4 linked regions of the Schizosaccharomyces pombe genome follow. Changing the gene in region 2 together with the main gene of any one other region gives a genetic interaction. Each region holds a gene or a part of one and is shown on either strand. Other genes may lie near its edges.

Region 1 (5,526 bases), 1.3 Mb from region 2:
ATTGCAGATTATATGACTTTCGAGGGAGGATACAAAGCCTTCAATAGAATGGGAATAGAATATAACACTTCTCCATTTGCGAAAATGTCTTTTGAGACCACTTGTCACTTTTTGACTGAGGCCGCCCTCCGTGGTGATGTTGATGACTTATCCAATCCTTCATCTCGGTTAGTCGTTGGTCGAGTCGGTAACTTTGGCACCGGTTCTTTTGACATATTCACCCCTGTAGTCGATTCTCCTGCAAACTAAAAAAGGTATATTTATTGCGGTTGGGGAATAATTTTAGAAAAATGTGTGTTTTGACAAAATAAAAGATTTTGGAAATTAAACCTTTATTGGCTACTTGTTACAAAAATATATAAAATAAATAAATTGGGTTTTGGAACTAATACTTGTCATATAAGTTTTAGATAGGTTACCACAAATAAAATTACGTTTAATCTACAACTCTTACATAACACAAGAGATAAACTTCTAAACGCTATAAGCGTATACTATGTTTACGAAATATTCATAAAGCTTTATATTGCTAATGTGACTATTAGATATGCAACTGGGAGAACAATTCGCCGGATATAAATTAAAAGCTTTCGTAAATTTAAAAAAATTGCGCACGCAAATGAACAAGTAACATCGGGGGTTTGAAAGTTTATTAAGCAACCAAGGTAAAAGATATGTGTAAAATTAGGAATTCCCATAGCAGTCTTTAACTAGAACGAAGAAATATCACATTAAATAAAGCATGGATAAAAAGTAGATAAGTGCTAAAACAAATTTAGAATAGTGTTGAAGTTTGACGAAGAAGTGGCATTTTCCTCTTGGTAGGAGAAGGCAAGTAAGTATCATCTTGCGCGGCTGAAGAATGAATAGTAGTTGCTGAAGAAATATATTTTCTACGCACCTCACGTTTAACAGGAGACACTTTTCGATTGCTATTAAAGTCGGAAAAGTGATTTTCAAAACTCAACATATCCATGGGATCCAAAAAATCATCTTCAAAGGTATCAAACGACTTGCTCATGGGTAGCTTGCTTGGTGTTTCTAAGCCGGCAACGGAACTAATGTTATTGGTAAAATAAGATAATGATCCTCCATCAAGTAAGCTATCACCTTTAGGACTTTCAGATAGCGTTACTTGTTTAGATGCATCTCCATTACGTAGAATTGAAGACTTCAAAGGCGTGACTGACCAAAACTCTGCATCAGATGATGTTAAAGATGATAATTGCTTTGCATCAGGTGTAGCCAGCATTTGCAAGATACGAGTTCGATGCTCCTTCAAATTTGTATTCGGACTTGCTGAGATACCACTCATATCAGAACGGATGGGTGAAAGTAAAGAAAACTTAGTGTAGTCATCAGCCACGATGTCATCACGAAAGCAAAACAATTTAGGACACAAGGCCTTCGGGGGGGTTGGAAAATCAATAGAATTTGATCGCTTTAGCAAAAGTCCACTGGGATTTTTTATGGTAGGCGAGCTAGGTAAAGAAGGTAAACGGACTGCAGGGATCTGTAGGGTATTAGTTGTACCATCTTTTAAACCTTTCTTGCCGAGATTCGTTACAGTGTCATTAAAACCCAACACGGAATCATGAACTGAAGGGGTTTCAACATCCTTCTCCAAATGTGATACAGGTGGACCTTCTACTGGTGCATCATCTTTATTCAAACCCAATGATTTAGCTGACTTTATTCCCAAAGATTCATTCCTAAGTGATTCAGATGGAGAAGCACTGGATGCTGGTGATGACAAAGGAGGAGATGGAGAATTTGTACATGATTGTAAAGGAGAAGTTACAGATACGACAGAGGAAACACCCAAATCGGAAAACTTAGCTTCCAAATCAGAAGGTGCATCGATACCAGGGGTATCTACATAGGGTTGTTGACTATGAAGAGGATGAAAATTTGTGGCATTAACATTAGAGATCGTCGGAATGTTCGTTAAGGATGCAGTATAATAATTCTGAAGATATTGATGTCGCTGATTAAATATATGGGGAGAAGTATTAAACGTGTTAAATCCAGAGGAACCGGTAGAAGATCCATATTTTGTAGAGGAGGTAACGTCTTGAACAGGAGGCGCTGGTCTTGAATTTACTCCTGGTTTACGCAGCTTTAGTTTTAGAAATTGTTCTTCATGACCAGGACGAATGCTCCAAAAATGACCCTTCCCCGGTAAATTTCTAGGACGTTCAATTTTCATGAATGCCTTATTTAGACTTAAATTATGGCGGATGGAATTTTGCCAACCGTTATTGGACTTATTATAGAAAGAAAAAGTATTGCTGATCCAATCATATATAGCACTTAAAGTGAGACGACGATCGGGAGAACGGATTATTGACATTCCAATTAACATAGCATAGGAATAAGGAGGTTTCTTTCCATCATCTAGGGGTAAGAAAAACTCCTCCGGTTCTTGAGACTGAGAAGAAGATACAGAAGGGTTTCGATATATAATAGTATCCAAAGATTGCTCCGAAGGAGGAGGTATGGGAAGAGGAGGAACAGAATAAGTCAATCTAGTATAAGAAGGTATATATGGTCGAGTGGCTTTTGAAGAAGGTTTTTGAAAAGATGCAATGTTATTTTCTTTTCCGCCTGCAACTACGCCCTTCAACTTTGAAGCAACCTTGGGATAAGGTGGTAAAGATTGCAAAGGAATTTCCTGATAAGCAATTGGGAGTTCAGAGTACTTAGAAGCATTGTTAAGGTTTTTTTCATGAGTAAAATAATAAGGGTTAGTAGAATTAAAATTCATGAGGAAGATGTTCAGACAAATTGAATAATAAAACAAAAATTAAAGCACCGTTAGATAATGGCAATGCCAATAATAATAATGATTAAAAGAGAAAACCAATTAAGGGAAAATAATAGTAATAGTGAATACTACTATACTCCGGACTTACACAAACATAGATTGTCAGTATGCGGACCAAAAAGAATGAAGTATTTTGCAAAATTCAAAGATTTGAAAAGAATTAATAATAATAGTACTCAAAGGACAAAAAAAAAATTGTCCGACCTTGGATTCTCGCACTAGTGTTACGACAAGGCACGATTCCGAAGCACAAAAAAAAGAAAGAAAGAAAGTGTGGTGCTCTAAATTCACAATCCTTTACAACCAAAAATAAAGTCTTAAGTCTAAGACAGAAATAATTATAGAAATAGGTATTACAGTATAGGAAGCAAAAGATACAAACTCAATACTGGATGCTGTCAGAAACGAGAGAAATGCACAACGAGATACTAATATTGCATAAAAATATTAAGATTTGTAATAGTGATACACAATCGTGTCAAATATCCTTTCGTATCAAATGCTCCGAATTGCTCCAATTTTGGACGTTTGCCAAAATATGAGTGTACGAGATGAGATAGAAATCTCCACCTCGTGAAAGCGGATCCTCTATTTTAGTGACAATATGTCATAGAGCCGAAAAATCGATTACGATGTTGGGTTGTGAGTATTTTACTAACAGTAATAAGGGTATACGTTATGATACGTTAAGCTGCCAATTATCCTCCTTCATTAAGTATGCCCTTAATTTGACACATTTCTGGTTCCATAGTATTAACCATACAGTAAAACGTTGTTTTATTTTTTGAGGTCCTATAATTAGAAATTTAAATGAAATGAGGCACTAGTTTCAGTTATGAAATATTTTTTTAGTGAATAGCTATAATATTATCTTCATACTAAAATATTTAATAACGTCGGATGTTCATGCAACTTAAATATTGCTATAAAGAGAGTATAAGTTGAAGTTGAGCTTAGTCTAATCATATCAGTTAGTGGTTGACAAATTTTAGGTGATTAATACATTTGGTTAAGAATCAATAGCATGCGTTATATTTTTTGTATTATTTCAACAATAACAATAACGATGATTGATAAATTGACTTGGCTTAGAAACTCATTTAGTTAATAAAATAATAATATTTCAATATTTGGAAGCTAATAATATTCTTTGTCACATAACTGAATCGAGAAGTTCACGGAGCTAATCAAGAATACTTCTTTTTATTAAGGATTTAGACAAAGTAATCATAGTAGCAATAATTCGAGCAAAAATAGCGTAGTTCTATAGATTTCAATTAAAATATTAGACAATTGAAGGGATGGCACACGATTCCTACACATTTACATTGAAAATTGCAAGTGCCAAGCTAATTTCCCAATTTTGCAGTCTGCACACATTCAAAGTTTGATTACAATATTTCTTTCAATGCCGTACTTCTAAAATTTTAGTTACTAGAAGAAAGTTCAAAAACCACTGTGTACAAAGTTTTAGTATGTGTCAAGGTTGCAACACGGAAAGCAAATTGAGTAGAAAGAAAAAGGTTCTGTATTTAACATAGAAGGATAGAAGAATTATGTGTCCGAATTTCTAAATTTGAAAATAACTACTATATGAACCAATGCATCAGGCGAACTGATATGTCTCGTTTAACATTAAGAGAAAGACAATATTCAAGAACACATTAGACGAGCAAATAAAAATTTTTTGCGTTTTCTTTTATAATAACTTACTAATTATGTGGTGAAGTTTAAATATAGTGAAAACCAGGCCATGTTAATTTATGAAACCAAATAGCATGTCAAAAAAAAAGAAGTTTTCAGCGTCTAATTATTGATTTGCTTCTATCGTCAAAATGCAAAACATTGTTTTCCATATCTTCATTGCACTAGACACGTCAGTACCTATTTTGGAAATGAATGCTACATGTATTGAATTAAATTTGAAGAACTTGTAATTAGCATTTAAACTTTTAAAAGTTTTCTCTTGTATTTTTATTTTTTTAATAGGTTATATCCACAAAAAACGCTGATTGGCGCTTACTACTAACTAACTACCACCATATTGTTTTCCTAAATTATGTCGAATTTGCGAATTGTTTGTCAACATTGCCCTTCAGTCGTATTTAATAACAAACGTCCAGATGTTGTTAAGAGGCCAACAATGTCAGCTATGCTGCATTCTGAAACACAAGAAGATCTAGAAACTGACGATTTTTTTCTTCTAAAAGATCCGTTTGCTTTCGACAACGTTAGCGTATCAAAACCCTTAGCAAATAATTATAAATTACTTGCTTGTGCTGATTGTGAAAAAGGTCCGTTGGGCTACTATGATTCTAAGAACAATGAATATTTATTGCTGTGCTCATTGGAGAAAAACTAAGCTTAATAATAAGTTTATCAAACAACTGTGCTATTTATCTTGGTTATAGCATATTTTTGTAAACGTTACTTATTTGATATGGAATGGTCTTTTCCATGTGTCTTTTTATTCTTTATATTTTTTTAGAAGACTTGCAACATGGCCTTACAAAAGACAGGTATGTTGTGGTTTCATATTGAATAGTAACCACGAAATTAGGTATATTTAAATGGAATTATAATGTTTGTTTCTTATTAAAAAGTTCTTTTGTAGCTTACACCTTTGTTGTGATTAGATTTTAATCTTATCGGGTATTAAATGAAATTAACCTTGACTAAACAAAATATACCTTACGATT
Region 2 (4,148 bases):
TAAAATTCTTATCAGATAGTTATTAAGATGACAGTAAAATCTATGTTTCATAATTTAAATTTTATACCGCTGGATTATGAACAAGACATATGTATATAAAATGGCTTTAAAATTAATATTAAAACAGTAATCCATGACAAGCTTATTGGTTTTTTACTTACAGTGTTATTACAGAGGACTAGTGTCGAGGTCATTTACCATTCATTTTTTAACAACACTTCGGCAATTGTATTTTTTTTTTTTTAAATATAAGCATTTTTATTATGTTGTTTTACGTCGGTTTTCATGGGTTCAAACGCAGTGTAATTTTCCCGTTACAGCAAAGTTAATGAATTTAAGAAGATGATAACTTGATTGTTGAGAGAACGATAACTACTTACTAAATTGCATAATTGACTAATATATAATTAAGCAGCTAGAATATTACTTCCTTGGGTTTCGCAATAACTCAGGTGGTAGCGATTGATGTAGAAAATCGTTTAGCTTTTATAGTTTATTTTATTTTATTTTCGTATAACTTGTTGTAGTTTTATTTTCTATCTGAAAGATTCATATCTTTCCAGCTCCTAATGTTCGTAAATGCTGTTTCTTAAAGCTCAGACTGTTTACCATTGAACAATAAGTAGATTGGTTACTGCTAATAAATGAAAGCTTAAATTATGCAATTTGTACAATTAAGTATAGTCACACTACAAAAGGTGTATCCTCATTTCCGAATATGTGCTGGTGTATTGCAATTAATTGTATATATGACATCTTACTAACTTACCACCCATGCTTGAGAGTATAGCTTATGAACCCTATGATAACAATTGCTCCGTTTGTAAACTGAATCGTATATTGGAAAACATACAAAAGTTCTTTGAACTGATACAAACTAAATGGTTCAGAGAGCGTAAATAGTGTTGAATTAATCTTAACCATATGGTTTGATAATGACTACTGAACAATTGATTGTGATAATATAAAATTCCATCTGTAAATCAAAACTTTTAGTTTAATAAACAGTATGCATTCATTGCAACCTTGGTACAAACGAAATAATGTCAATGGACCGAAGATTTATACGAATTATTAGGTTCGACCAGAATACTAGTCATAAAGCTTGCACCTAATAAGTATGATAAATTATCGTGCATGCGCTCGACATCTATTTAAACCCAATCGAGACTTAGTAAGCAACATCATTGTTTTATTAACAGTCGCTTGAAATCCATTATTCTCAGCTAACTTGACAACATAACCATTTATAGCATCAATCTCTGTCTCTCTTAGAAGAAGACAATCTTGCCTGGTAGATGAACTGTTGGCACCATTTACTTTTGTTCCAACAAACATCACACGATCTAATAGTCGATTCACGTTTAAAATTTTTTCAGCTTCCTCATTGTTTTTAAAAAGAGGAATACACTTGAAAAATATGTCCACACATTCTTTTATTATACAACGAAAAAGCTCCTTGGCAGATTCATCATTGTAGAGCTCCCCATTAACACAATCCAAAGTTGCAGTTGTTGGATTAATACAGGCATTTATTACAAGCTTTTCGCACTGGTTAACTAAAAGCTCTGGGTAATTCATATAACGTAATCGTAGAAGTTCTGATTTGCCTAATGACTTTATCATTTCGCATGGCGTTTCAGCTGCTTCATCAGGTAAAATCTTCTTGGGATTCTTTGGGACTTTGGATATTTTTAAATCCCCTAAACCTGCGTGACTGAAATGGAACGGGGCTGTTTGAAAACACCCATGTGAGATTACTCCTTGATATATGGAAGGCTTATTTTGTTCTTCCGGCCACAACTTGCCACAAACATTTTCGACTGCCCCCATACCGTTTTGTACAAACAGTATGTTCGAGTTTTTACTTAAATATGGTAAATATTTTGATAAAGCGTTTTCTGTTTGCCCCGCTTTAGTTGTTACGATCATATTTTCTATCGATTGCACATTCAATTGGGAGGGTTCTGATGCAGTAACTTGGCAACACAGATGAGGCACATTTTCTTCAAACAAGCGGTCAATCTTCAAGGTTGAATTTTTATCCTTGAATGAGTTGACTCTCGATTTGTCTCTTAATAATAATATCACCCGATTATTTATTGATTTTAAACTAGCTAATTCATATGCTAACAGACTACCGATACTACCTGCTCCCAAAATATAAATTGTGTTATTCATTTGAAGTAAATGAAATAACGATCAACTTCATATCAAACGTTAGCAGGACACTGAATCGTGACTGTCCTTATCAAAATAATTAGTGCTGTAGCAAGCAGCGTTAAAGACTGCATAATAATATCATCTTATCGAGTTTATTCATGGAATGTTCATCCTCTTATGTTTTACTAACATGAATTTACATCATCCTTTTTTTTAGAAGATATTTCGCATATTTCTAGCTGTTAACAAATTTTAAATGCATTATGTTTCGATACATTGAAGTAAAAGGAAGAATTGAGGGTCCTTGAAATTTAGTTTAAATCAAATTGATACCAAACCATATACTCAAGTATTTAAATGTATTGTAAATAATAATTCTGTCTCTCTAAATATGACAGGAATCCATACTTCACAGTTTCGTGTTTTCTTCACAGAACATACCAAATATCCAGCGGTTCAAGATAAATTTCTCAAATATATATATGTACTCGCAAAATGACACTGCAATAGATTAGTATGGATAGGGTTGAAAACAAAAAACTTGCGATGTTAACCCTCCTGCTACTATACGGTGTTTTAATTTTGTATTATCCTATGACTGAATAATGAATTTTCTCAATGAACTTTAAACTCAGAGGATTTTATAAGAATTAGATATTCCGGTCATTACTGTATTTTTCTATGAAATATTAGCAGTTAAAACACCCAAGCTTCGACAAAGGAACATTGTATCGAAAGACTGACTAAGCGAATCGTTAGATTTTGTAACTTTCATCATTCACTCATTTTGAAGCAAGTATATTCATAGTCAAGCAATCCACTATGGCGTAAGTGTAACCTATAATTTATAGGTTTGCTATTAGATTTTTACAGCATGGTTATAATTTTACAATCAAATTATCAGCAAACAACTATTATCTACGTACTAAGGTCTATTATCGCAACACATTGACTACGTTATGCTGTTCGTTACAACCAAGTGTAATCAGTTTAACGTTAGGTTACACTGGGTTGACTTAAAACTTGTATGTAATCTTGTAAGCAAGCGATAAGCAGGATGTATAAATTAAAAAAAAATTATAGGAATTTTTTTGTAACTCATGTTTGCAATAGCCAATAACTAAATTAAGTACGAGGTTCAGTTATAGTCCGATTTCTAACTTTCTAGTAGTTGTTACCAACTGGCACCTATGTAAACGAATGGATTTGGTTAGGCAATTATCAACGAACGGATTTTAGCTGATATACTAACAGATGACTATAGTTGGTTTCCGAAAGTAATGTAGCATTGTTAGCATAGTGGTATTTTGTCAGCAATATTACACTACGCTATGATATTTTACGATGGTATCACTATTGTAAGCTACGCAGTTTGGTATCTGATTAAGGATCCGTAGAACTGCGGAGAGTTTTCCTTGTGATCTATTATATTACAATACACAGGTTGATGAGTAGCAACTGAGTATAGGTATTGTATTAACTGGGTTATAATGTTACCTATCACTAATATAGCTCATAACCGAACTGAGGAACGAGGTTCAGTTGTAACGCTATTTATAATATTTCTAAATAGTTGTTATCAACGGGTATTTATTTATATAGACGGATAGTTTCCCGTGATTATCAATAAACGGATCTTAGCTAGTATTCCAACATATGACATATAGTGATGCGCAACGTAGTGTAGTATTGCTGACAACTATTCATACGTTAAGATACTACTTAAGATTCGTTATTGATAAACGCTGATAAACTATCTGTGTATCTACATAGATACACGTTAATAGTAAGCATTAGAAAGATTATAAATAGAGCTACAACTAAACCTCGTCCCTAAGTTCAGTCATTAGCAATATCGGTGTACAATAATACTAATAGACTTTTTATAACAATAAATATTACATTGTTATTTAAAGATACCGCATATATTGTAGTTCGCAAGAGAAACTTGCCGCAGTCTATGTATCGTTAAACAAGTATTGGAC
Region 3 (6,387 bases), on a different chromosome or scaffold from region 2:
ATTATAATCGGGTGGTGCTTGGTACTAGTAGACACCTTTGGGTTCATCAGAATACGCCGTATGAAGAATGCCATTAGTCGGACAGACTCACCTGGTGAAACGTCTCCGGAAGAAGTGGTTTAGTCACGATCTATAGGTTCTTTTAGTTGCGGCCGTATACTTTACAAAATAATCGGCTCCTTACTTTTTCGTTTATGTGTTAAGATTTTATTTCCCTTATAGTTTTCATTTTTTCTTTAAACATGTTCTCTTTTTCTATTTCGGTTTATGGGCGGATGATCCTTGTTTTAAATACCTAGTTTATTAGTTAATCTTGCCCTACCTGATTTTTTTTACGACGCATCATTTTACTTTTCGCTCTCTTTGATGAATAACTTGGCACATTCACGGCACTGTTGATGTATTTTTGTACAAAGCTCGTTCAAATTACCTTAAAACCTGCTATTGATTCTACAGCTACTTTTATGTTTTTTCCATGGTACTTCTATAGTGATTTATTGACTTATTTATTGGAAACTTCTACTAGTTTCATCTATTAATTACATTTTTTGTCAAAGATTACTACTTATAATAAAATTTGCGATAATCGCCATTTTAATAATAAAAGCCGTTTGTTTACATTTCAATTTTTTTGCTAGACTTTTTGCAATTTTGTCATAGAAAAATTTTCTCTTTATAGTAAAGACTAATAGATTATTAACCCGTACCGATGTATAAAGTATAACTAAATTTTTATGTATAAATAGATTTTTGAAATATGAATTCATAGCTTCCATGCTTTAATATCGTGAAAAACGTTACAACTTCCAACCTCCATTCATAGCAATTGATCACGGATGATCCATCCTAGTTTTTACCCTTCACATAGTTTTTAAAGCAGAAGATTGTGTTCACGGTGAACACATTCAATTATGTGTCGATACTCTTTCCTAATGTACTAGATAAATGTTAGCTATATGTAAACTGGAAAAAATTTGAGAAAATGATTATTTCCCTCAAATGGGAAATAATAACGACTTACCGTAAGCATGTAAGGGTTAGCATTGTTGCCCGTAGTATCAGCAAAAATTTCGCTTTCATCTACCACAGTAACATATTCATCATTATATTTTCGATACACATTGTTTTCGAAATCATGAATGTAAGTCCAATAATGACCGAATGAAGCCTGTCCACGATGCACAAATACAGCAAGCAAGTCGTAGCTATGGCTGATGTAATTATCGAAAAGATGCGTCCTTTCTTCTTTTAAGCTGGCTTCCTGTTTTTTAAGCATATCCACTTCAGCGACAACATTGTTTATTTCCTCTTGAAGGATATCAGGAAGTTTTGGATTAATAGGAAGTCTCGAATCCTGCTGCTGTGCAGCCCATTTAGATAGAATAGACAATGTATCAACAGATGACATTAGATTCGAATTTGTAGTTAACAATAGCTGTTGTCGTTTTTGAAGGTTGATAATTTCACGCTTTAGATCCCAGTACCTTTGTAGTAAAGGTGCCATTTTCCCATCAGTATCTTCAACATATCTGTCCATGGAAAGTTCTTTTCCAAATTCAACAAATGCATTAGACTTGAAAGGCTGTCCAGTAGTCCTGTCAAATTGGACACGCTGTATTTGTAATTGCAAAATTATCGGTAGCTCAGTAATACACAAGGATCGTTGGGCAGTTTCGCTTCCCATATCAATATTGACTGTTTCAAAAACACCATCCAATGCATCATACAATGTTTGTTTCTCCTCGAAAAGGTCAACGATCAAGTGAGAAAAAATCTCATAGTTAGACCGTACTCCTTGACTAGCATCATTTAGTGTTTGTTTTAGTTTGCCAGAAAACAAACGTCGTATAAGATCATTATCAGAGCCAAGACGATCTTCTGAGTTGGAAATACGACCAAGTGAAGCTTCCAGTTGAAACAAAACGTGATCAATACATTCCAAGACATCTTGTTGACGACCTAAATCCATGGAGGAGTTTATTTCTTCTTCAGATACTTCAAAGTAATGAGGTTGTGTTTGAGACTCTCCGTTAGTATTGGCCATGGGAAAATCAATTAAATTAACTGATGAAGATTGTTCCGCTGGACTTTTGGCCTCATCCTGTCCTTGTTCTTGTTCAAGCCCTTGAGCTTGCTCTTCTGCTCTGGGGTCAATAGTGATAGATCTCTCATTCAAATTGCTCAACTCTCGAGACGATGACAAATCCATAACCGAGGATGTTCCAGATTTGACCTGGTCCAACGTAAGAGGTATTAAAGCAAGATATGTCAGTACTGAAGAAGGATGAACAGACGATGACTTTGAAGTAATGAGTTCAATAAATAATTTTCGGAGTTCATAAGTGAATTGTAAAGCCCTCAAGAATTCAATTCGAGTAACAATCCGTCCACCAACTTTCTTGACAGCTTCCTTGTTTTCAATCATATTAAGATCTTTGTTTTCATCAATATCCAAAATTGCATTACGAAGAGGTTTTATAATAAAGTAGTATTGGATCAGGGAATTCAAATAACAAAGATTACCAGTATTTTCCAAACCGATCGGAGTATCCAAACTTGAAACTTCTGGTGGAATATCTAGATTTCCATGTTCTAAATAATGAGTGATTAAACGCGAATTCCTAACTTCTCCTATACATTTCAAAGCTGCTCTCAAAGTGTCTGATTGCTCTGGGTGGTCTTCAACAGCAAAGCCGTATACATTGATTAAAACGTCATCTGATAGTGCACGATCTTGAACACCTAATGTGTTGTAAGCTAGATCTTCATCCATAGGCACTTCTTTAGGCTTCTTGTTGGAAGGTCTACCTTGTGAAGCCAAGAAATCGTACAAAATGGAGCTATTTCTCTCTTCAGCTATCCATTTGACGGCCTCGATGGCTTTGTCGCTATCATCTTCAAATTTCACTAAGGCCACAGAAGCTACCATGGCGTCCTCGGTGTTAGACTTAATGCCCAACCATTGGTAGGCTTCATTAACCGTATAAAAAGCCTGTTCTGTAGACAAAACATAATTTAAAATTTCAGAACTCTTTCTTGCATAGCCAATAGTCTCCAAATCGTTCCTAATAGCTCTGGCAAATTCAGGTTTTCTTAGGAGGGCAGAATGAAACGCCTCAAAGATTTTTTCTTGACTATACCTGTAATCCGGGCCTACCTCAGCTTCAAGTCCTAAACTCGAATAAGCGGCTTGTATTACATCGCTCGACACGATTCCATTTTTCCTATCTGCCGCAATTAGATCTCTCAAAAAGCTGCTTTTACGTAAATTGTATATATGAGCAAGCGCATCCGCATAAACACGAACATTAGCTTCATCGTTCTTTTTTTGTTCCTCATAGAAATAACGGACAAAGCTGTCTGGATAATCATTCGTGATACCCAAGGCTATAAAAGCAGGATCATCAGGTAAGGAGGCCGAATTGTCGCGAAAAACTGTGGTATACATGGGAACCACGCTATCATAGTTAGGAACGCCAAAGGCATTAATTAAAGCAGGTCGAGCCAACCTAACGGGAAAAGGGTTAGCAACAATAGCCGGATCTTCTTTAGTGTCACGAAAGTGATTAGCCAAAACAATAAGTTCATTCCTAGCAAGGTATAGATTAAGTTTTTGTTCGTCAGTAAGGGGAGCGTCCGCAATGGTAGGGACATAATTTACATTTTCGTGGTGATATTCAAACAGAAGAGATTTCATCAAAGATTGAATTTGGCGGCCCTTTCCGACATGTCTCTCAAAAGTTCCTTCCGGGGCAGCGCTAATGGCACGTTGATCGTTATGGACCAACACGTTTCGTAAAAACAACTCCAAAGAAGTAAATGTAGTAAAAAGAGAAGGTTGGGATGAATGGGATGACCCTTGATGAGATGACGATTTTTTAGTTAAAAGGGAAGCAAATGATGGACGTCGGGAATCAATTATCTCTTTGATACAATTAGCATCAAGATAGCTATCTCTCCATTCAACTTCAATTTCACTTTTTGTTGTTTTGCTACTCCATTTCATACAAGTAGAGGTAGTAGCGAATTCACTTTTCGTAGGGCTAGTCACATGAGGTTCAGGTAATTCCTCTTCTTCGTAGTAAACAGGAATCCTATCTTTTATTCCATAATTTTCTTCAGGCTCTTCAATTAATGGCTTCCCCCTGTCTCTTCGGACTTTCACATGTAAGTGTTTGCGAGTTTTTTGACAAACACACCAAAAGTCATTCTCGTCAAATACAGCGGACTCGCCTAAATTTGAATGAAGCTGCCAGTGATATCTTGAGCTATGAGGACTCCAAGGATCATTCCATCCAGCTGATGGACTATCAAAGACGTCTAAATCTTGAATCAACCGATTAGGACTTTTGCCAATTCGCAAGTTCTTTACAGTTGCCATTCCTCTTTATAGTTTGATGTAAATAATTTTAATAAAGAAATTTAAATTTTTTATTATGAAAAATACTTGAAAAAACGTCCAAACGGAAAGAACGTACAGATTGAAGGATTTTTCATGAGTAAAGGACTCGGTAGGTAGACTTCATGCGTATGATGCTTGTCGTCTTACATATGCCAGCCAGGTATGCGACCATCAATTTTATGAATGTGGGGAATAAGATAGAAGTAAATGTTTGTATTTCATTGATAAGGCTACTAAAGAAGGTAAGAAACAATCAACACCTACATTTCGCTATACGAAATTTACCATTATGCTTAAATAAGATTTTTAACCTAAATACACCTTACTTTAAAAATAATGTAGTTAATCAATAAAGATTAAACTTGGTTAACTGGAAGTTAACAGAATGGAAGTCTAAAAATCTAAAATATCATTAAAACCATGAAATGGTTAGCAATTGTAAAAGAAGGAAACTAGGCATCCTGTAAAAAAACAGTAAAGCTAAAATTAAAAAGACTTCAATTAGAAGAACGAGAGACGAATATATATGCCATCAGCATACTTTGGTGTGTCACGGAAAAGAATAAGATCTTAGCAAAAAATTGAAATCAAACAAAAGAGATAAATCTATAAACATGGAAAATAAGAATATTTGGGGATTAGGAATTAAAGCAAAAATTTGAAGAAAAAATAGAGAAAAGCAAACAATATTAGGATAACTGCCTTAGAACATTGCGCATGTCGTCACTGAGCTAGCCATTCACACTACGGAAATGTGCTTAATTGTAAAGAGAAAAGAAGTTCAGATGTATTGGCGAATTTTTAAGAAGGCTCCAAAGAATGTTCAATATTATTTTCGGGTAAAGCTACAGAAATAGGAGCAATAGCGGGCATGTTTGCAACGGGCATTGAAATCGGTAGATAGCCTAAGAAAGAATTTGTAAAAGATTGGGGCGTTAGTGGTGAATTCGTTGTAGGGATATGCATAACAGGTGGTGTATAAGCGACTGAAGGAAGACCCGAGAGCACAGTAGGGACAGCAGGTAGTGGAGTCGCATAGTGAGCGTATGATAATTGCAAGGGTCTCCCGCCATAACGATAACCATTTAATTTTTCAATTGAGGATGCTGCATCATTTTCATTCTCAAATTGAACGACACCGAAACCTTTAGATCGGCCAGTGGGCTCATAGGCGATTCGGGCACGAATGACTGAGCCAATATCTGTGAATAGGTCCAATAAATTGCGATCTGAGGTGGCCCAAGGTAACTATATTCAGTCAGTAATCTCCAAAAAAAACTTAAAATGATGCGGAAAACTAATCCCACAAAAGCGTCCTTATATACATACATTTCCAACGTAAATGCAATCCGAGCAGGGTCCATGGGGATACGCATGATAAACTAAATCCTCGACTTGAGTATTAGCACCTAACATGGGTAGATAGGTGGATGATGTAGTCATTTGCATTTCCGCTGGAAACGTATAGCCATTTCCATGAGTGGAATACGGCTTACTTTTATGATGTGCAAACCGATCTAGGCGAACTTCTAAAGTGCGGCCCATGAAATCAGTGTTATGCAACATTTGAATGGCATGCATGGCTTCTTTCATCGAACTCATGACAACAATCCCAATGCCACGGGATCGGCCTTCTTGGTTCATTTGGATATCAGCTCGGATAACAGAACCAGCTTGTCTAAACAAATCCTTTAAATCTTGCCAGCGAACGTTATACGGTAACTATACTCGTTAGTACCATTTCTTATTTGCAATTCCACAATTCATTAAAATACCAAAGTTCGAGGAAAAGAATATAGAGGATTAGAAATTGAACTTACGTTACCAACAAACAATTGCCTGTCTGGCTCAGAATCTTTGCCATTCGACGACGCGCTAGGCGATACTGAAGAGGAGCCAAATCTTGCATTTTGTTCTCGATCCTTTACGAAGGTTAATAAGCGACATAAAAAAAATCTTACTTCACGGATATAAACAAGACGGCC
Region 4 (6,869 bases), on a different chromosome or scaffold from region 2:
AGTGTTCCAGAAGCCGCTTATGGTTCAGCACCTCCATCCACCTTTGCCAGCAGTGCTATTTCTGAAGAGGCGAAGAATGCTTGCAAGGGCGATGCTAAAATGTTTGCAGATTGTATAAATGAGCATGAGTTCAGTCAATGTTCTTACTATTTGGAACAGCTAAAGGCTTGTCAGGCCATGTGGTCCAACCAACAATAAGAGGCAATGAACTAATTTATTTATTTTTCTATTAAATAAAAGTTATGCCCAGTTTGTTTGCATCAGCATCAGCATCGAAATTTTTTTTTTCATGTTTCTACTAACGAGAACGTTGAACCCTAATAGCATTTGTTAAGCAGTAAATAATAACTGGTTTCCCTGGTATAAGACATAGTATAAGAACGAGAAGAAATAAATCATATATGGTATTTTTTTTGTTTGGTTTAGTAATGAAGTTCTTTTTTTTTAAAATGGCCCAGTAATAAAAAAGTTCACGAAGAACGTAGTTAGAAAGCTTGATAAATAAATTAAATGAAATCTATGCTCTTTAGAAAGTTCTATGATCTGGCTTGGAGAAGAGTAGTACATAACAGTATGGTAATGTAGTTAGAGCTTCTCTTAACATGCGTACGTTTTCATACCTCTTAATAGTAGGGATGGTTCAGTTCATACAGCTACCTAGTTCACCCCATCAATCAATCAATCAATCGATACAGTCACTCTTCAAAGCATTTTGAGAGTTCTCCCACAGATTTTATGCTAGCTGGAGTTCCGACTTGTTTATTAAAGTAGGAAGGTTGGAAGCGAACCATATCTAACAAACTTTTTTCAAAACGAAAATTAAAAGCAAATTAAACTTTCATTGTCTTACGTCCCATGTTAGGGGGGGGAAGCAGCTAAACAATGATGATTTATAGATGGTTGCCTCGGCTATTATTTACTTTGTTTCATATCTGAAAGAAGAGTAAGGGATAGGATACGCCAAAGATCCACCATAAAACGGTTTATCAACAAAAGGATCATCATCGAATTTGGTTTATGAGTCTTTCAAATGTACTCGTGTTTGTTAGTTTAACATACTATTGCATCCACTAGAGATAGTTAAGAGAAGCTGATTTACAAATGATCGGTTTCGACATGTCTGCCAAGTTATACTTTTAACGTATTACCAAGAAAAAAAAATTTACGGGACGGGGATTCCATTCTTGCTGCTTTGGTTTATACTGTAAGCATAACAGCAATCTTAAATTGAATCGTCTTTGCCAAGCGCATTTGTAAGAGTATTGTATGCTATGCCACGCAGTGCATTTTCATATCCAACGCTACATACAATTTGTTGTTACTCTTTCTGTAGACCATTTCGGAACGTTGATTGAAGATCGGAAAATTTAATGTTTCGTCCAGAAATTGTCTGCATATGTAGTATCACAGAGAGTGTCAAGTCATATCTGACAGCATCAGGTTAATGAGCTTAATTTGGGCCAAAGGCGAGCTAGAAAAGAAGAAGAAAAAAAGAAAAAGTAAACAGTAAAGAAAAACATATAACGACTCTTATTCATCCTTCCTCAGCATTCCCTTTTTCATATTTTTATCCCATTCTAATCCTAGTCTAAGAAATGCTGGCGATATAGACCGAGTCTACTGGTGTCTGGAAAGGAACATAGCTATATCTATATATAGATATAGATATAGATATGTATGTATGCTTGTATTTCGTTGGCAGTTTTCTAGTTTAACTAGCAAAATACAAGAATTAAAATTAGTATTAGTATTATTATTATTATTTTTAAACATTTAAACATCGACTAATTTTTTCAACATCTGTTTTCACTTTCAAGTATCGACTACTTTCTACATTCCAACGATCCATTCTTTATTATAGATTCACCCTTTTCCTCGATAAATAAGCACCATTACACATACTTAAAATTTTTGTTTCAAAGGGAAGCTAAACTGTACGACGATGTTTATCGTTATACTCAGCTGTCACTTATCCAGAACTCACTCCATCAGAGTGCGTGCATTTAGCTTGCTCCCTGCACATCCCACTACAAAGTGTTAGAGATAGGCAATCGGAGTTAGAATACCGAGACTTTATTCCAAGGTAAAAACACATCTAGAAATGGGGACAAACAAAGAAACAAAAGGTCATGTGAATGTTAGATTCAAGGGGTAGAGTTCGATATCTCAGCAAGCGATTCCTTTTTTTTTTTTTTTTTTTTTTTTTGAGAAAACCTCGGTACACGCTAAGCTGGCTTTTCCTATTGTTACTCCTTTTACTACTAGTATTATACTATTGCTTTGCTTTGTTGAATAAACAGTCTATAGAACGCTCAAGAAAATACGACGAAAATAGTTTATTCATAGCTTGACAAACTAACTACCTTTGTTTTGTTTTGTTTTTTTCTTTTCTTTTTTTTTTCGTTTCTTAGCTTGGCTATAGCTTGCGTATTCTGTCTTTGTCAGTCATTAATCCAGACAGTAATATAACATATTCACCTTGTTCTTTTAAAGGTCTCCCTTTTTTTCTTTGTTGCTCATCTAGATTGTGCTTAATTTTTTTTTTGTATACTAATCAAAATTCAATTTATTTTTCTTTAGTTATTTATTTGTTTTTTTTTTCGCTTTATTGGATCCTATTGTAAAAAATCATCTTTTTCATTGTGCTTGCAATTTACCTTTCTTTGACGATTACGCCTTTGTTCACGACTTTTAGCATTCTTCCTTTTTCTATCTCCATGGGGCCGTTGTTAACTTACTCCTAAAATTTGTAGTTGCTTATCTTCACAACCAAAGGATGCTTCGGTGCAGCACCCAATTTTTAGCCCATTACCCTGTGCCCAATTCTCAATGTCTCATCATTTGTCAATACTAGCTTGTTCCTTATACTCCCTGTAACCCACTATCTAAGACATTGTGGAGAGGGAAATGTTGGCAGTAGTGATATACTTCCGAATGGACAATTGCCTATCAATCGTGGTAAAGGAGAATGGCTAGAATTTAGTAAAATGATATGGCCCAAATAGAACGGTAAAATTACTAAAAGATTGAGGATTTGAGGCAGCGTCTTGGTCGTTTGACTAATTATTAGAGTGTAAGCAGGATTCGGATGTATTGCTCCTTTAGTTAATCATATCGTCTGGTTTTGCTCCCTAATGTCCCTTGTCCTCTTTTATGCCGCCTACATTACCGATGAAGAACACGTGTTGAAATCCCCGAGTTTGCAAGTAGTCTTGATATACAATGTCTTTTCCTCGTATATTCCGAGCAGATCTAAACCTTCGTCGTGAATAACCCCCTTCTTTGCTTTCACCTAAATCAATTGCTATTCGAGGGTTTTCGATTCTCTCCTTTCTCCATTAACATACTAAATTCAATTTCTCTTTGTGTGGGTTGCTTCCTTTTTGCTGAGACGTCTCCCCGTCTTCCATCCTGTCTTTATCAGTTTTGTTGCATTTCTGATCACCCATTTTTTCTTTTTTTCCTTTTCTTTTGTTATCTATCGAATACCTCCACATTGCTTGAAATACTAGTGAGACTGCGTTTACCTTCTCTTCTCATCTGATTCTGTCTGTGCCATTGAGCTTTCCTTCGCTCTCCTCTTGCACCTTTTGTTGCGTTTACTGGCTTCTTTATTTTTATTTGTTTTCTTTTTCACCTCAAACTTTCTCTGTGTTCAGCTTTTCGAGATATTCAACTGCAATTGTACTGCTCTTTGATTCTTTCACCTTTTTCAATTCGAACTTGCTACTCCCTCAAGCTTATCCAATTATTTTTTAGCTTCCACTTGAGAAGAGTTCTCTCTATCCATCACCCAAAAACTGAAATTTCATCTTTGTGAAATTTCTTTCACGGTCTGATCACCGTGCAAGCTATTTCTATTCCCCATTTTACTTTTCTCATCATCTGACTCTTATTCTGGAAATACTCGTTTCCCCCACTCAAATATATATTTATTCTTTGGGCTTTCCTTAGACTATTGTTAGACTGCAAAGTCTCGTTTGGTTTACCTACTGTCTATCTCTGGTTTTGGTTTTTCATTTTCCATTTCTGTTTCAGCTGGTTTCTCAAAATCTTCATCCTTTCTTTCTTTCTTTCTTTTGACTCGTCATTTTTAAGAGCCATTCCATTTCTTTCTTATTTATACGTGTATAATCTCTATTTTATCTTTGCATTTTTGCACTAAATTACCATACGCTTGCGTTTTTTTCTTTCCCTATTTCTGCAATTTTATTACCTGAGTAAAAGTTTTCCCATTCGTTTTTTCCTATCCCTTCTTTGATCAATTTTATTTATCTTTTCTTTTGACCAAATTTTTTCTCTGGGGTTTTTTTTAAACTTTGTTTTGAAGGAAATTTTAAATTAATTAACTTTTAACTTTTTCAGTTGAAATACTTTTCATTCTTTTTTCTACGCAGCTTTTGGATTGCTGTTGACACATCATCTCATAACTATCTATTGTATTCCATATAATCGACTGATACGACCTCCATCCCACTTTGGCGCAGGCATCTCGTATAAAGTTTTGTCTTTTTAATTTGATATCAATCCGGCATCCTTGTTTCATGCCCCTTTATAGATCCTTTCTCATTCCAAACTTTTTTTTTAAACACATTATTTAAAAATGGTTGTTTCCTCTCCGTCTGTATCTTTATTGCATTCTCCTGTCGAAAAATTATCAGCCCAACTCGAAAAAACAACGCTTTTACAAGACATTCCCCCAGGTTCTTTATCCGAAAATGATAATTCCACTACCTTTATAAAGCCTCCTTTGGAAACTGCATCATCAAGCACCCCTATCCCAAGTTCCTCTTCCAGTGGAGTATTAAATCCGTCGTCTGTCCGTGGAAAACCAGTTGCCTGTTTATTTGTTGCTAGCTTAAACTCTTCAAGGTCTGAGGAAGAGCTGACTGCCACTGTTAAAGATTACTTTCAACAGTGGGGTCCTTTGTTGCATGTCAAAGTTTTGAAAGATTGGTTGCAAAGGCCTTATTCTTTTGTTCAATTTCAAAATACTGATGATGCATCGAAAGCACTTTCTGAAGCCCAAAACACGATATTGGATGGCCGTCATATACGTATAGAGCGCGCCAAAGTTAATAGGACAATCCGTATATCCTCTGCACCCCATCAACCTTACATTACAAAAAAAGACATAGATAACTTATTGGAACCTTATGGCGAGGTTGAAGATGTCACGGAAATACCAGATCAATCCGCTTTCTTAGTACGGTTTGTTTACAGGGATGAAGCAATCGCAGCCTATACCGCGCTTAAGCATTCTGCCTGGCCTGTACTTTGGGCGGAAAATGTGACATATCAAAACGGTCACTATAAGAAGAAAGGTTCCTCCCCGTTTTCTCCACCTAACGCACATAGTCGAAGGCGAAAGTCGCAAGGCAAAGATCAGTCGAACACTCCTGTTATCAAAGCACCTGCCCCTATTCCATTCTCAGTTTCTTCCGATCCTCCTTCTACCATGGGAAGATCAAATTCCGCGGTTCAAAGTCCCTCATACTTTGCTCACTCATTGGTCAATTCTACTGAATTCAGTACTCCTAATGAATCTTTAAGCTCCTTACCGAGTATATTACCTTCAATACCCTCTTTAGAAAGCGGCAAGGCCGAACTCCCAACAGATGGTTCTTTTGAACAGCCTGGATATCCCATGAACCCCTCTATGATGTTTGCTGCAATGCCTCCACCGATTGATCCTTATTCTATATTCGTTGGCCAACTCGACCCAGTAAATTGCACACACTACTTACTAGTTGATCTATTTTCCAAATATGGAAAGGTAATCGATTGTAAAATAATTCATCAAAGCAAGAAGCCTGCTTTTGCTTTTCTAAGGTTTGATTCTCAACAAGCCGCTTATGCTGCCGTCTGCGGTAAGACGAGGTCCCCACACCAGAAAAAGCCTTTGCGTGTTGAATTTCGTCAACTAAGACCAATGCAGCAATTTTCCCCTCAATATCAATATCCCTCCTATCCATATCCGATGTTTCCAGCGCCATTTTCACCACCTCGTAATGCAATGATGCCAATCCCTGCACCCATGGATCAGTTTTCAACATTTCACCAGTCAATGGCTACCCTTCCTCCTGGTGCCGTTCCCACATCAATTCCTCAGTCGTACTATCCCATTTATTCTCCAGAAATGGCTATGCCTCAATCGTACAGTCCGATGTATTATACGCATAACCCACCTATGGATGGGAATTAGATTTATTTTGAATTTCCCTTCATTATCTGATTGAGGTTTCACTTCTTTATACAGTCCTTAAGTGTCGGAGTTTTTTTTATTAGGTACATATTCTATAAAACACTAATAATTATCTAATTTATTTTACTTAAAAGATGCAAATTGGCTGCAATTATATTTAAAAGATTTAGAGTCATAAATGTTATTATGTTCATATATATGTCTTCTATATAATTTTACGAATTAGTGTAACTCGTAACAGTTCTCTACTTTACGCATTAACGATATAATGATATTAGATAGAAGTTTATTTATATATGCTCCCAAATATAGATGTTCTCACACATGTATCGTATACACTCTAACCATTTGATTATTTTCACTACATAAATTTTTACAAAAATACTATATAAAGTCAATTCATTTTATGAAATTTTTAATTTGAGGCTGTAATATTACGTGAACTTTTTATTTTGGCTTACTGGCGAACTGAAAAAAGAAAATTAGTTTTTTTTTTAACAGACCTCTATTTCATAGCTTTAGACTTTCTCAAAACACTAGTTTCATATAAATATTCCTTATAGACACTAAATACAAAAAAAGGTTCGTGAGGTAAAGAACCAGAAAAAGAAAAAAATTATAAAGACAGGACAAGCATAAGTTTACAAGGGACTATTATATACGG

Evidence for each region.
Region 1: mutations in pan5 (region 2) and sep1 together harm fitness more than expected from each alone (negative genetic interaction), as found in Schizosaccharomyces pombe (one large-scale study listed by BioGRID).
Region 3: mutations in pan5 (region 2) and ubp2 together harm fitness more than expected from each alone (negative genetic interaction), as found in Schizosaccharomyces pombe (one large-scale study listed by BioGRID).
Region 4: mutations in pan5 (region 2) and msa1 together harm fitness less than expected from each alone (positive genetic interaction), as found in Schizosaccharomyces pombe (one large-scale study listed by BioGRID).

The regions. Positions count from the first base shown.
Region 1 is NC_003423.3:3,132,720-3,138,245, forward strand, and holds sep1 (DNA-binding forkhead transcription factor Sep1), read right to left. Parts: upstream 3,386-5,526; 5' UTR 2,768-3,385; coding exon 776-2,767; 3' UTR 501-775; downstream 1-500. Other genes in the region: DNA-directed RNA polymerase I complex large subunit Nuc1, read left to right, coding at 1-249; dss4 (guanyl-nucleotide exchange factor), read left to right, coding at 4,887-5,189. UniProt on the Schizosaccharomyces pombe protein: Required for promoter sequence element PCB-driven, M-phase-specific transcription. Acts as a transcriptional activator with a role in the regulation of mitosis. Regulates septation and the periodic transcription of cdc15.
Region 2 is NC_003423.3:4,477,982-4,482,129, forward strand, and holds pan5 (2-dehydropantoate 2-reductase), read right to left. Parts: upstream 2,184-4,148; 5' UTR 2,182-2,183; coding exon 1,129-2,181; 3' UTR 706-1,128; downstream 1-705.
Region 3 is NC_003424.3:3,485,319-3,491,705, reverse strand, and holds ubp2 (ubiquitin hydrolase Ubp2), read right to left. Parts: upstream 4,513-6,387; 5' UTR 4,382-4,512; coding exon 1,022-4,381; intron 938-1,021; coding exon 872-937; 3' UTR 607-871; downstream 1-606. Other genes in the region: bsd1 (heavy metal ion homeostasis protein), read left to right, coding at 1-123; hrb1 (RNA-binding and mRNA export factor), read right to left, coding at 5,204-5,650, 5,732-6,124, 6,223-6,324, 6,364-6,387.
Region 4 is NC_003424.3:2,317,974-2,324,842, reverse strand, and holds msa1 (RNA-binding protein Msa1), read left to right. Parts: upstream 1-2,017; 5' UTR 2,018-4,603; coding exon 4,604-6,205; 3' UTR 6,206-6,351; downstream 6,352-6,869. Other genes in the region: mix17 (CHCH domain-containing protein), read left to right, coding at 1-198. UniProt on the Schizosaccharomyces pombe protein: Negative regulator of sexual differentiation. Acts by repressing the transcription of meiosis-inducing, ste11-regulated genes.